Drosophila melanogaster: one gene and its partner. The protein of the gene in region 2 purifies or fractionates together with the protein of the main gene of each other region. This does not show direct contact. Each region holds a gene or a part of one and is shown on either strand. Other genes may lie near its edges.

What was found.
Region 1: the proteins of msl-1 (region 2) and JIL-1 purify together in Drosophila melanogaster (affinity purification with western blotting; 2 studies listed by BioGRID). This does not show direct contact.

The regions. Positions count from the first base shown.
Region 1 is NT_037436.4:11,090,194-11,095,173, reverse strand, and holds the start of JIL-1 (JIL-1 kinase), read left to right. Parts: upstream 1-1,980; 5' UTR 1,981-2,902; intron 2,903-3,317; exon of another isoform or gene 3,318-3,401; 5' UTR 3,402-3,534; coding exon 3,535-4,276; intron 4,277-4,980. Other genes in the region: CG46439 (uncharacterized protein), read left to right, coding at 1-681; Iyd (iodotyrosine deiodinase), read left to right, coding at 823-979, 1,035-1,741. UniProt on the Drosophila melanogaster protein: Phosphorylates 'Ser-10' of histone H3. May regulate gene expression by establishing or maintaining the structure of more open chromatin regions. Also required for normal polytene chromosome structure, for oogenesis and for viability throughout development.
Region 2 is NT_033779.5:18,682,418-18,692,034, reverse strand, and holds msl-1 (male-specific lethal 1), read left to right. Parts: upstream 1-3,234; 5' UTR 3,235-3,609; coding exon 3,610-4,848; intron 4,849-4,908; coding exon 4,909-6,789; 3' UTR 6,790-8,315; downstream 8,316-9,617. Other genes in the region: CG10383 (uncharacterized protein), read left to right, coding at 1-918; CG10336 (uncharacterized protein), read right to left, coding at 1,318-2,241; CG31751 (uncharacterized protein), read right to left, coding at 8,770-9,590. UniProt on the Drosophila melanogaster protein: Component of the male-specific lethal (MSL) histone acetyltransferase complex, a multiprotein complex essential for elevating transcription of the single X chromosome in the male (X chromosome dosage compensation).

The sequences.
Region 1 (4,980 bases), on a different chromosome or scaffold from region 2:
GGGTTGGAGGATCAGGAACAGAAAGACGCACTCTCTCCATCGGAGCAGAAGAACATACAAAACAGTAAGGATAAAACCAGTCATCATCATTCCAATTGCAAGATGTCCAGCCATGAGAAGGATTTAGTATCCACCAATTTGACCTGTCCCTGCAAGCCGGAAGTGGAATCCTCACAAAGCCCAGTTTCCTGCCCCTGGATAGCCGAAAATTCAAAGTGTGAACCCCCGTGTCGGGAAACACCACCACAATCTACGCGAAATTCCGTATCCAGTCCGCAAAATTCAGATATTTCTGAATCCAGCAAAGAACCGGCTCACTTGATGGAGAAGGAACCATCCGGTCAGGAATCCGCGAATAGCCAGCAAGTGCAGATGCTTTGCGATATGATACGTACCGAGCTAACCACTGCTCCCGATTTTATATTCTTCGATGCCAAGTGGCGGATCATCGAGATTCTGAGAGAGGTGCACAAGCGCCAATTGGTTCACCAGAAGGCCATTCCACTCAACAATACACGCCGACCGATTCCGCCGCAAAAACGAAAACCGGGTGAGCCCAATCAGATGCTTAAGAATCCAAAATGCATGTCGGATAGGAGTGCCCACGAAAAGGGACAACAGAGGATGTGCGAGCATCACAAGGGCAGCCATTGCACCTACTGCTGCCGGAACAACAACTGAAGTGGAAACCAAAACCCATCCACCAGCATCCATCGCTATCAGCAATAGCCGTGACCCACTTAACCAAGTGATAAGCCAATCCGAGCGCAAAAGCAAAGCCACTTTCTCTCCGTCGCAAAAGCAGTTACATCTTGAAGCACCATGGATGTGGACGAACTGATCAGCAGCTCCAAGCTACTCAAGCATTGGCCAAGTTTATTTATCACTCTGGCGCTGATATGGATCGTAAAAAGATTGTTTTTTAAAGGGAATCGCGTATTAAAAACATATAATTTAGATGAACAAGTCGAGGAGGAGGGTAAGTTTTAAGATTATCCACGGTGAACATAAAGCTATTCTATTCTATTTTCCAGTTGAACACTTTGCCGATCTTGGCGATGAACTGCAACCGGCTCTGGAGGATAAGCCCCATGTGCCCTTCGTTCCCGGCCAGAATCTCAACCCTAATGGAGCCAAACGCTTATATGAACTCATGCGTGGACGCCGTAGCATTCGCTCCTTTAATAGCCATCCCAAACCGGATCTCAGCGTGATAGAGGACTGCATTCGGGCGGCGGGAACAGCTCCCAGTGGCGCACACACAGAACCCTGGACGTACTGCGTCGTACAGGAGCCGGAACTCAAGCGATCCATTCGGGAAATTGTGGAACAGGAGGAGCTGGTCAACTACAGCCAGAGGATGCATCCGCAGTGGGTCACCGATCTGCGACCCCTGCAAACCAATCATGTCAAGGAGTATCTCACCGAGGCGCCGTACCTTATACTGATCTTCAAGCAGACCTATGGATTGTCGGAGAATGGAAAGCGAATGAGGAGGCATTACTACAACGAGATATCCACTTCGATTGCGGCCGGTATCCTTTTGTGTGCCCTTCAAGCGGCAGGACTCGCATCGCTGGTCACCACTCCTTTGAACTGCGGTCCAGCCTTGAGAAACCTGCTCGGGCGACCCGTCAATGAAAAATTACTCATCCTACTGCCCGTTGGTTATCCGAAAGATGGATGCACAGTTCCCGACTTGGCGAGAAAGAATTTGTCAAATATTATGGTTACTTTTTAAGGTTTATTTACGTCCGTGCAGCTTACGAAATAGTTCAATAAAACCAAACTAAAATTTATGGTAATTCTTATATTTTTTCTATTGATAAACGAAATTTTCACATTTTCCTTAAATTTATTCTTCATTATAATTGTTAATCAAAATATAATATTCTTAAATATTTGAAACGATAGTCTCCACCATCCCTGCCAACCGATATACGGCTGCTTTCCAGCACCACGCTTTTTGGCCTCTTGTCAACACTATCGATAACGATAGCTACGGTAAGTGACACAAAAGCAAAGGGAAAATTTCTACGTGCGGTTCGTGTGCTGTGTGTTGAAATTACAAATAGCCAATTATCCGGCATTAATCGTTTTAGGGCTCTCTCGATTTTAATTGTATTATATTGTACTATAATACAGATATAAACCCGATTTGATCGAGTGTAACGGAAATCGACGCGATTCCCATCAAGGTGGTCCGTACCTAATAAGTGTTCACGAATGAGAGCAAAGCAGATGGCGGAGAGCGTCCTGCGTTTCAATGTGTGTGTGCGTAAACGAGTAGAAAGCGGCGGTAAAAACCTTCTCGTGTAACACAAAACAAATTATACAAAACATTCAATCTCAATATCAAAACGTTACTGTATTGTCTATTGAAAAACAAGTACAAGCGTACGCAGGGAAATTGGAAAATCCATTGAAAATCGAGAGCAACAGTCGCCGGAGCGGAATCAGCGGACGAAAACAAAAACGCTTTAAAAACGCAGCCGATACAGAAAGTGCCAGCGTGTGAGTGTGCATATGTGTACGTAGTTGTGGGCAAAGAGAACGGTAAAGAATAAGAAATCGAAAAAAAAAAATAAAAAACTAACTGTGGAAGTGAAAAATGCGCGACTGATAAAGATTGTGATAATCACGGCATAATATAACAAGCAAAAAAGAAGAATGAAAAGAAACCGCAACCGAATTGGTTGAATAATATTTAAGCCAACGCCAGTGCTGCATAAATCGGTGCACATTATCATTGGAACGTTCAGTGTTGCACATCGCTACCGCCCCACGCATAATCCAACACTCTTCCCCCTCCCCATCCAGATCCACCCACTCACACACACACACACTCCGATTCGGATTTCTTCGTCTGCATTATAATATTGCGCTTATAATCTTTCGCGAGGTGAGTCGAACTCCCAAATAGTGTTCTATTCAGAAATGAGTTTCCCCATCCAATTGTCCGCTAACAGCGGGAAAATTACTCCCGCCTGCGTTGAAACTGTACCATATTGTGGATGAAGAAATGGGATAGAAATGGGCAATGGGCATTGGGAAGGTACGGTGAAGATTGCCTAAATAGAACACAATAAGAAACAGCTATGTTCAAAACATCTTGCGGAATAAATTTCAACAATTCAGTTATTATTTATTTAGTATTTAAAATGTGTGAACTGGAACATTTATATCGTACATGTTGTCTATGCATTGTTGAACATCCATGAATAGAAAAAACTAATTCAGTTTCTAATTAAAAATACTACAACAATAAAACAGTCTAGCTAGCCAAAATGACAACTTTATGTCAGTACTCATATAAGAATGTGTCAAAAAGTTTAATGATTGTCTACAAATTGTTAGCGATTTTCGAAAAAATGTCTTTACTTTGATTTCTGTTTTTCCAGCTCAACGATGCGCCACGATCAGTCCCTGGACCTTTTTATTTTTATTTGTTAATTCCTGGAATATCCATCGATTACGTGAGGAGCACGTAGAGCATTATTAAAGGCATAGGATCTTTTACGGAAGAATCTAGCCATGAGTCGCTTGCAAAAGCAAAACTACGAGATCTTAAGCGGTACAAGTACGTCGCGCCTCAAGAATCATCAACATCCCCGTGAATCGGAGTCACTAGCCTACGAGGAGCCAGATCAAATGGTGCGGAATCATCTAAATGGCCAGCTGGTAGCCAATGGCAATGGCAAAACGCGAAAGAATAGCAATTCCGAAACGATGACCAATGGGAAAAAGTCCAAACTGAATACGGAGGGATCCGGCTCTGGTTCTGGAAAGACCTTGAACTACAATAATAATAACAATAACAACAACAGCATCAGTGCCACCAACGGTCAGTACACCAATAGCAGCAGCAAGACCACTTCAGCATCTGCAAGGGATTACACTTACCGCGAGACCATATCACCGCCCACACCTCCATCCCCGCCCACCACAAATGTGGCGGATATTGTTTGCATATCGGATGCGGAGAGCGAGGACGGACGCGATCCCGAGCGGGAGTACTACGACCAGGACATGGAGGAGGATGAGCCGAACGGGATAGAGATCGATGAATCCAGCTCCAGCTTGTCCAAGGCCAAGTCCAACAATGCAGCTGCAGCGGCGGCGGCGGCGGCTGCAGCAGCGGCAGCAGCAGCCTCGAAGGCCTCCTCGTCGACCACGCCCTCCTACGCCATGCCCACCAGCAATAGTACACCCCTTGATCTGGACAATGAGGCCCATCAACGGGACCTGGAGGCGGTCACCGATCTGAAATACTACGGTGAGTCATTCCACTCAATGATAGTGATAAAGAAGACCGGGCCAACTGCAAGCACAAGCTAGATAAGAAAATTTGTTACAAGTTGCAGGTCAGGATGTACTTATGTTAAATATGATAGTTTAATAATTCCGTCCATATCAAATTAAACCGCAACTTCTTCCCTGTGAATATTTCATGCCATTTTAAGGCAGCTGCCACAGAGCTTATCAAACATGGTAGTGTGGTGGAATAATTGATAACTTTAACCGGGTGGATGTCTCAAGGTTTTATTGAAATGTCGGCAGAGGGTGGCTGGTCAATGCCAGATGAAGTGCCGTCTCTATCGTTCTTTGTTAAAGTGGAGCACATGCATTTAACCTTGACACGATTACCCAGAAAACTCAACCCGGCTTTGTTCGCTCTTTGGGCCAAATCCAAAACTACTGACCTCCCCTGAAATCGCCCAACCTCGCCGTACTCACCTCTCACCACACTCTACATACATATACACAAAGCAGACAGAATATCCACCACCCAAATGTCTAATTTGATAACCGTGGGTCGAAAACCTATTGTTGCTGCTTGTTATTTGTTAAATTTGACACTTTTCGGTTGCATTTTTAAATAAATATTATTTACTGAGGACATTGGTCTGGATTTTGGTGTGGAAAGTAACACCTTTTTGAAGTAAACGTTTTTGTCAAGAGGTTTTCACAACAGCTGTT
Region 2 (9,617 bases):
GCCAACGAGGAGTGCGAAGGAAAATTTAGTGTGTGCGGAAGCGAATGGCGGAACCAGGACACAAGTGAGGAGTACACCAACTGCTGGCCCATGGAGTGGCTGCCAGATGATTATCCAGATTCCAGAATTCTGGGCATAGATTACACATCAGCAGTCACAGAGTGGTCTGCCAATTTTACCAAATACTGTCCGTGTGAAAAGGGTCAGGGTCACATTGATGTGAGAGCCAACACACTGCTCGACAGGATTTCAGCGTCGGATGTGGGCAACGATCGTCCGATCGTGTGGATAGGACATTCCATGGGCGGCCTGCTGACCAAGCTAATACTGCTAAAATCCCTGGACTCCCAAGAGCCGAAGGTCCAACAGCTGACCAAGAACACTAAAGGCATTGTATTTTTGGGAACCCCACACCGGGGCTCACCAATTGCCAAGTGGAAGCAGCACATGCAGATGATCCTGTCTCCATCAATCGAGGTCAAAGAGATGGAAGAGAACTCGCCGAAGCTGCTGGAGATGCACCGCCGCTTTATGGGGTGCTTGCACACGCTACTGCGCCATGTAAAGGTGGTCAGTGTAGCTGAAGGATCCCCTACCATGTTGACCTCGTTCAAGTTCCCCCTGCGCATTGTCACCGAAGAGTCCTCTAAGATAGATTTCGGGGACTTCTATCTGCTGAAGGATGATCACTTGAGTCTCTCCAAGCCCATTTACAGGCAATCGTTTCTGTATCAGAGATTATTGCACGTGATCCGCGAGGCCATTAAGGAACGATCAGATCCCAAAGATCAGGATGGCCAGTCACAAAGCACTTCGAATCAAGATGTAGTGCTTGTCAAGATCGTAGCTGCTCTGTTGGAGGGAGCCAAGGGTCTGTTCGAATCGCTGCCCAGAGTCGCCCTCAGATTTAGCACTTAGGATGGGCCAAGTCCCACTAAACACCAGTACCCTAATAGTATCCCGACTAGTCTTTAAAGACTTGTAAAGTATTTTCTACACGAACCCTCACCATCATGACCATTCATCTTTGTAAATACTCCAGCACTCCATATAGTTTTTTACACCCGAATCCTAACTTATTATTCTCGGTCTCCGACTAAAACGTTTGAATAAAGATACATGTGTAACACTAATGCGAGTGGTTTTAATACGATTAAGGGTATATTTAAAGTGATATTCATCAAAGATCGAAGTACAGAAAAATCAATTTAGATATTAAGTACCGCGCATTAACTTTCAACGTAGCTTATTCATTTATTTTTATAAATTATCCTTTGAAAATTATAAAAATATGCGTTTTTATATCATAAATATACACTAACTTTTACTTCCGCTCTCCTGCTGCTGCTTGGCCTTAAGTCGCTCCTGCGCCAGCCTGCGGTTTTCCGCAATCCTGGCCATCTGTTCGTTGGATAATTTCTTAGCCGCCGGCGTGGGAGGCTGTGAGGGAGGCAGCGGCTGACCATAGTCGCTGATGTCCATCGATGCCAACGGAGCTCCATTCCGATCGAAGGCCGGAGCCACAGAAGCTCCACTTCTGTCGAAGGTCGCATTTACACCGGAGTACGGCGTGGACATTACAGCATTGCCGCGGGAGAATGACGGAGTAGCCAGCGTGCTGTTACTGGAAGCAGTAGACATTTTCCACTGCTGCGGGCTGGGAGGCGCCAGCCTGGACATGGCAATCTGTTCACCTAGCAGGGCGTCGAACTCATCAAAGGGTTCATCGCCGGCACCTTCCTGTTGCTCATCCTGCGCCTCCTCCAGGGCCTCCGCTTCGTGGGCGCGCATCTGCTCCAGCTGACCGAGTCGATATCGCGCCATGTGCACTTGGAGGGGTTTCTTCTTGCCCAGCCGTTCGATATTGTTAAGCACATCGTCAAAGGTGTAGGTGGGATACATACGATGGCCCCAGTGCTGCAGGCGGCGAAGCACCTCGTCGAGATCGGTTTTCTCGTAACCCTTGCCCTTGAATTTGATGTCCTTAAAATAATCTTCGATGGTCTGGATGCCACGAGGACCTCGAAGTGTTTCCACAGTGAGTCGCGGTCGGGGATTTCTCACAGCTCGCTTCTTAGGCTCCACTATCTGGGCATCCTGGCTACCAGGTTCTACGCCGTTGTCCTCGTCGTCCGCAAACAGCTTTTCGCCTTCGCCATCGCTGGGCAGCTGATCCGGGTCAGTCGGAATGTTGTCATTGAATAGGTCATCCACACCATCATCTCCGAACAGGGATGCCATAGAACTAGTGGCCGAAACTTAAATACCAAATAAACAATCTAACAAAATTTTGGCGCCAATTTTTGTTCTTCTTCTCTATCTACCATTCACAGGCGACGCTTGCATAAGTCACAGGGGGCTGCCAACTGAACAGCTCTTTGTTCTTTTAATTTTCCGATTACATAACTATTTGGTCTTTCCCAAAGGCTATTTTGATTTGCTTAGACATATTTTCATTAGTGGGTGGCACTAAAGGTAATTTGTACAGCCAACCCGGCTTTTGCATTGGTGGCAGCAGACATAAGAGATGGCAGCGTGACACGTTTTTTTTATCACTAAGCGACACATTGGCGTCACGAGTTTTTGTTATTCTATTATATTTATACCATTATACAAGGAAGGATAATTCATCCAAAGATTGTAGTTATTTAAATTTAGTGAAATATTTAAAAGGAGTTGGTAATGTAATAAAATTACCAAAAAAAATAAAATAAAATCAATACATTATTAGCTAGCTAGTTTCTTTTTCATCTATTTTCTCATTCCAATTACTCATACCACATAAAAATTGAAAATAATTATCCGGGGAGCAACGGAAGATTATTATTTACGTTGAGAGAAACTGTCCTCTTTTAACTGCTATCCTTGTGGTCTGGCAGAGTAAGAAATAAAAATGTGTTTAACGACATTTAGTCGGAGTTGACGAGCTGCCGCTCTTTATTCTGGTAACTGCAAATTTAAGCTGAAACTTAAAATGATTCTTAAAGCTAACAAAGACTCCGGCCCAATGCTGTCTCAGCACTTTGATATTATGTTTCATACACTAAGCCAACTGTACTAGTTCGTCGGCTCGTGTTAACTTAGCTATTAGCTATTATGTGCAACAAAGTACAGTTTCGTGAAAATATTTTCACTTCGTGACTGTCGTGCTCAGCTCGTGCATCGCAGCAAATTGCCATCTCTATGCCCCCAATCAACTCTGCGCTTTGGCGAAAAGTGGCAACGCCAGCAAAACGCCATACTTTTAAGAGCATTTTCGGGGCGACTTTACATTGTGAGGACAATTGTGGAAAAAGCGGTGAAAGAACGTTCAAAAACGAACCGAAAAACTGCTGCCTAAATGCGGTCACCACGTGCGATAAGAACGCCACGTTTAAAACGATAAATCCATTAGATTCTGGCCAAGAAAAGAGCGGTTCTTTTGCGAGGGCGAGCAAGGAAAATTTAGTGTGGTGCGAAATTGTAATCGGGATTCTACGCATTGTACGGCGTATCAGCTGAAGAGATTGTGTGCACCCCAAGCGACGCAAACAAAACCAAAACAAAACAAAAACATTTGGAGAATTATGAGATCGTAGGACCGACGGCACGGGATTCAATTCGACTGCCATGGACAAGCGATTCAAGTGGCCGCCCAAAAAGCGGGCCAACTACTTGGAATCGCCCTATCCCCACATACCGTCGCGTGGCCGCCAAAGGAATCTGCACGGCCATCCCAATCAGACGCAGCATCTTCATCAGCATCCCGGGAAGATCTATGAGCGCCAGCAATATGGCAATGGTCGTGGAGGACATGGCGGGGGTAATAACAACTACCGAAAGCTTTTGCATTCGCTGCCAGCTGAGCATGGTGGCGGAGCCATGGCTCCTCCTTCCTCCGGCGGAACCGTGTGTGCCGGCGCCGATATGGTCAAGCTCATCTCGGAGAACAACAACCTGAGGCGCATGGTTATGTTGAACTTAAACCTGATGCAGGAGCAGACGGACAGCATAGCGGCCAAGGACAAGGAGCTGGACGACCAAAGCGCTAAGATGAGCGTGGTGAAGGCGCAGAATGAGGAATTAAAGCAGGCCGTTGCTCAGTTGGAGGCCGCCAACCAGGAACTATGCAAACAGCTGCGGCGAAAGAACCAGCGAAGGAACGACAATGACGACGACGACGATGATCCCCCACTGCCACCTGCTGCCCCGCAGCAGAAGTTGATACGTTGTCATGCTGAGACGCAAACTGTGTTTCGGGAGCGGGAACAGGGCACACAAACGATAGATGCGCAGCCTCAATTCGCGAATGCACTTCCCAGGGGTATCAACATGAAGGAGTCTCCCGCTCTGGACCATCACGCTGGAGCGGTAACGAATCAGCCAGCCAGCAAACGCTCGGAGAGCAAAGGCCGCGGTGAATTCAACGGTAAAAAGGTGAGCACGTTTATTCTCCAGCGCATGAATCAGGACTTCGAGCACCACATCCACGAGCAAACGGAAGTAGCAGAGGAGCACGAGATGGAGGCACATAAGGAGCAAATATCTCAGGAAGAGGACCAACTGGTCGCTGAGGAAGATCATCTGCATATGCAAGAAGTGCACACCGAGGAAGTCGTTGGAGGCGATATCTTTCATGATGCTTTGGAATCAATTGAAATGGAAGTGGTCACCGAAGAGCTGGTTGATATGGAGGAGCATGGACAGTCCGTGGATGCCAACGGCCATATCGAGGAGGATGATGACGAGGACGACGAAGATGACGAGAATAGTGATAAAGACGATGACAGTGAAGAGGATGATTATCCGTGGATGCATAGCGATGCGGATGTAAACGCCAGAACTGAGGAAGAGCTCTGGCAGAATCAGGTATGTTTAATGTTATTATTTAATTAAAAGAATATATCGAGCAATCCTTTACTCTTTCAGAATTACCTTTTGGAATTGGACCCGACGGAGGAGAAGACCTGTGCGCCTTCGGCCCATTCAACTCCCAATCACCAGCAGAAGTCTTCGACACAGGCAGAGATAAGGAAAGAAGGAAATCAGAATCGGATAACTGAAAAGTTGTTGCAACTAAAGCCTGAGCCAATGGTAGATGCATTAGAAGCGCCGATTCTCCCGAAGTGGGTGGCTTTTAAGAAAAAGGATAAGGAACATGAATCAGTCCCCGAGTCCCCAGAAGTACCCAAGCAGCAGCCGCATCAGGAAGATGCCATCGTTGATCATAATGCAATAAAGAATCAGTTGGAAGTTCCCAAGCCGGACTTAAAACCGAAGGACCAGCCCAAAGACGAACAGAGGCAGGATGGGCAGCTGGATGTTCGCGTGGAACCACAAGAGGATGTTCGTAAGGTACAGAAGGAAACTCTGAAAAGGCAACCAGAGGATGCACCTAAGCACCTTCCGAAAGCGGTAGCCCCAAAGGTTACGAAAACATCCTCTCGAGAAAGCACGTTGCCCAAGGCAAACACCGCTGACATAAAAGACGCTCCCGCTCAAAAAGTAATAGCCAACCATCAGTCCACCAAGACGCAAACGGATCCTGTAAAAACGCAGCGTTTGCAGGTTAAGATCAGGCAGTATGAAATGCATCCTGACATGAGAACCGGCTCCTCCGCCCCGTCTGATATTCGGAAACAAAAGAACGTTGATCCAGTTTCGACGCCCGAGACGAAAACCATTAAAAGTAAAAGTATGTTGGTCAATGATAAAAAGACCACGTCGGAAACGTCTCAGAGCCCAGATCAAGAAATAGATGTGGAAACAGTTAGAAGAAAACTGGCGGAACATTTAAAAAAGGAGCTCCTAAGCCAGAGTCATTCGTCACAGGTTACGCTCAAGAAAATAAGAGAGAGAGTCGCCACAAATCTAATATATCCACCACCCAGTGCACCAGTATCCTCAACAACAATAACCCCAGCGCCTACGCCGTCAACGACACCAACGCCTGGCTCAACGCCACAGCATGCGGTTACATCCTCAATGGACCAGGAAATATCTGCAGCAAAATCGAAATCCAAGGCAGCTGAACAAATAGCAACTCCTCTGACACCTCAATCTAATAGCAGTGTTAGCAGCACCACTTCGACTATCCGAAAAACGCTAAACAACTGTTCACCCCACACGTACAGCAAGGCAACGGCGAGATCGGGAAAACTGCAGTCCAGATTCCGCACTGCCACGTTTCCGTACAGCACGAGAACGTGGGAGGATCAGGAGTTCCACTGTGACAACGAGTTCTTCCTGGAGGAGGCCGACGAGCTGCTGGCGGATAACCCTAGTCTGGAGATACCCAAGTGGCGGGATGTCCCAGTGCCACCCAGTTCGGATAAAATTGACACAGAATTACTGAGCGATGCGACCTTCGAGCGCCGGCACCAGAAATATGTGAAGGATGAGGTCGATCGAAAGTGTAGGGATGCACGTTATATGAAGGAGCAGATACGGCTTGAACAGCTTCGGATGCGACGGAACCAAGACGAGGTGTTGGTTGCGCTGGATCCTCTGCGCGCCTCCACTTTCTACCCGCTGCCCGAGGACATAGAGGCCATCCAATTCGTCAACGAGGTGACAGTTCAGGCATTCGGCGAAAACGTGGTCAACATGGAGGCGCGGGATGATTTCGGTGTGCCTTGGGTGGATGCAATCGAAGCGCCAACCTCCATAGCCAGGTCCAAGGCACTGGCTGAGCCGGTGGCAACGTTGGCTAGCAAAAAAATACCCACCACTGCTGCCGAGGCGAGGCATCAAGAAAATCACTCCTCCTACGTGTTTCCCAAGCGACGCAAGCGCCAGAAGAATCGTTAGCCAGGAAACGCCTGGGGGATCTGATACTGGAGCTAAGCAGAAGACTGTCGGTTGGGGGAAGTCGTTGCGTTTGACATACTAATGATTTTCAGTTTTAAATCATGAATTATTTCTTAAGCTTAACGTGAAAGCACCAGAGTTAACAGTAACGATTACCACAGATCGTCTAGAAGTCAAATAATCCAGAGCAGACGATGTTTATTGTATATATGGTTCCTCAACTGTCCGTTTTTATTTGTGTAATAAAATGAACGGAACGCTGAATTCTGGAACATTAGAAATTCTTTGTTATAGAATCTATAAATTTATGTCAAAGTTTTGTCGTTTCTTATGCGATGAGAGATCTTAAAAGGCAAGTAAATTGAGCTGTCCTATTCAAACATTTTTCTATTAAATTGTTATCATATTTATTTCCTTGAAATATAAATAATTCGATCTTATATTAGATGTAAATGAATCCAAATGTTCGTCGCCTGGTCTGGAAATGATTAGTTTTTAGTTAACGTCTTGCAATTGAAAAGAGTTTCACCCTTGCTTGTTTCCAATGTACGTAAATTACTTAGTCCCACACAGCATGTAATTCAAACCAGTCGCTTAGTTAGATTGGTTAACTCATCTCAGCTTTATCACCTTTAAAATCGCCCGCACTAAAGTGATAAGAACACGAAAGATATTCACATAAGTTATATTGGGCATTTTTTTGGAGAAAAACAATGAAATTCGTAGACTTATATTTTTAAATATTTTTTTTCTTTAGCCCTTATAACCATTTTTTTTGTCTTTGTTTATACTGTTATATCTGTCGATTCTCGAATGCAGACAACGTGTGTGTTGCAAAGAGTTACTCAGGTATATCTCTGATAATTTGTCTTTTTTTTTAGGATTTGATTGTGTAAAAATTGAGTGCGAGTGGTTGTCTGCTTCGAGTAATCAAATTATACATTGGATCTATTGTTTTATTTTATTAACTTCATTAAACTTGTTTTATGTTGTATCGAACAAGAAAGGCCGTTAAGATGAAAACTAGATTTGAAGAATAAATATAAAACTGATTCCCGAACTGCACACCCGTTTGGCCTTATGGGCACCATGTATTTTTGGCTAAATATTGTTTCGTTTAACACTTCTTCTGTTTGACTTTCTGTCGCAATGATATGGAGCCTGCCAACGTCCGGAGAAATCAAATCACCAGCTCGCTTTCGAGTGGCGTCTTATTTTTGTACATTTCGATAGGTGTAAAGTCGGTTACTTGTAATATAGCGTTAAGTAGGCACTGTACCCAAACGCATAGAGATAATTATAATGTAACAAAGTAAATACGATACGATGTACATTGTCCAGGAAAAGGAGGAGCGGAGGGTGGATGAACTTCGTTCAACACCATTTTACACCATTCAATGTAATTAGCGTTAAATAGTTCAATTTACTGAAGCTTCAACTAAAAATCAATTCGAAATTAATTGCCACCATTGTAGAGCCCTAAACAAACTCACCTACTGTAAGAATAAATGTACTACATACAATGTATTTGTATTTGTTTAACAAGTTTTATTGTAAAGATAACGATAATAATATACAGGATAAAGTAAATTGTAAAGCAACGAAATGCAATCAATACTTGGACTTGCAACTTATTTTGCACAGGTGATATGTAAATGAAATTCTAATAATTGACAATGGGTTTATTTAACAGGCCTCAATTGATTTTCCAATGACCTGGCATCGCTTGCTTCTGGTTTCCTTAGATGTCTTTTTGTTTGCGATCATCTCGATATAAACTTGTTTAGGGGCTAATTGCAAATGTATTTAATATCTTAGAAAATGCTTCATTATACTCTATATATTGGCTGTGACAATTTTATCTGACCCTCGTTACCTAATGGAAAACATAACATACAAAATCTTCAACAACCAGAATAGCTGGATTGAAAATCAGTTAAAATACCTTTAAAAAACGGAAAAGCCTAACGGAATTTTATATTATTTATTGCTCTGCGTCAAGTACTGGTGTCCAGTGCTTGCCCACAGCTCATCAATATCGTCAAAGCTCTCGCGCCACAGCTTCTGAAGGAGCTTCCATCCCTTTTCCTGGGTCACCAGGAGGTACTCATTTGTGGGATGCAGCGTGTGGGTGTAGAGTCCCATTACCAGGCTCTGAACAAATCGGGCAGTAACACAGTACTTGAGAAGGGCCAGCTCGGAATTCTCAATTGGGTTCAGACTGGTATAACCGGACAGAAATATGCCACCATTGGCCAAATCGTTGGCCTGCAGTATCATATAAGTGAGGGCAATTCCAATTTCGAAGATCAGTGGCGATTTGCTCGTATCACCGAAATCAATAACTCCCTTGATGGTATATTCAGTTTGATTGGGCACCTGCTCCACCACTATATTTTGTTCGTTGAAGTCCCCATGGATGATCTGGTGCTCCATGGATGGCAGTTGGCTCAGAACCTTGGCTTCAAAGGCATCGATCACCTCGTCGCAGATAAGCCGCTGCTCCTGATCCTTCACCACGTACAGGAATTGCCTAAGCTCGGGAACACTCTGAAGCATCCACAAGGTCTTGTGGCTTTCATATGCCTGGTGGGTGAAGTTCTTGAGGGCTCGATCCAACCTGGCCAAGTATTCGCCGCTGCGGTAGAGCAGGTGCTTCGTCACCGGCACCTGGTGGAAGATTTCTCCCGGTATAAATTCCAGCAGTCGCACCACATTCGAATTCCCATTCAGCCGTTCCACAGAGTAATACTTTCCTGTTGCATTGGCTACTGGTCGTGGGCATTTCACACTGTGTTTTCCTAGGGAATACGATTGCATTGTCAATT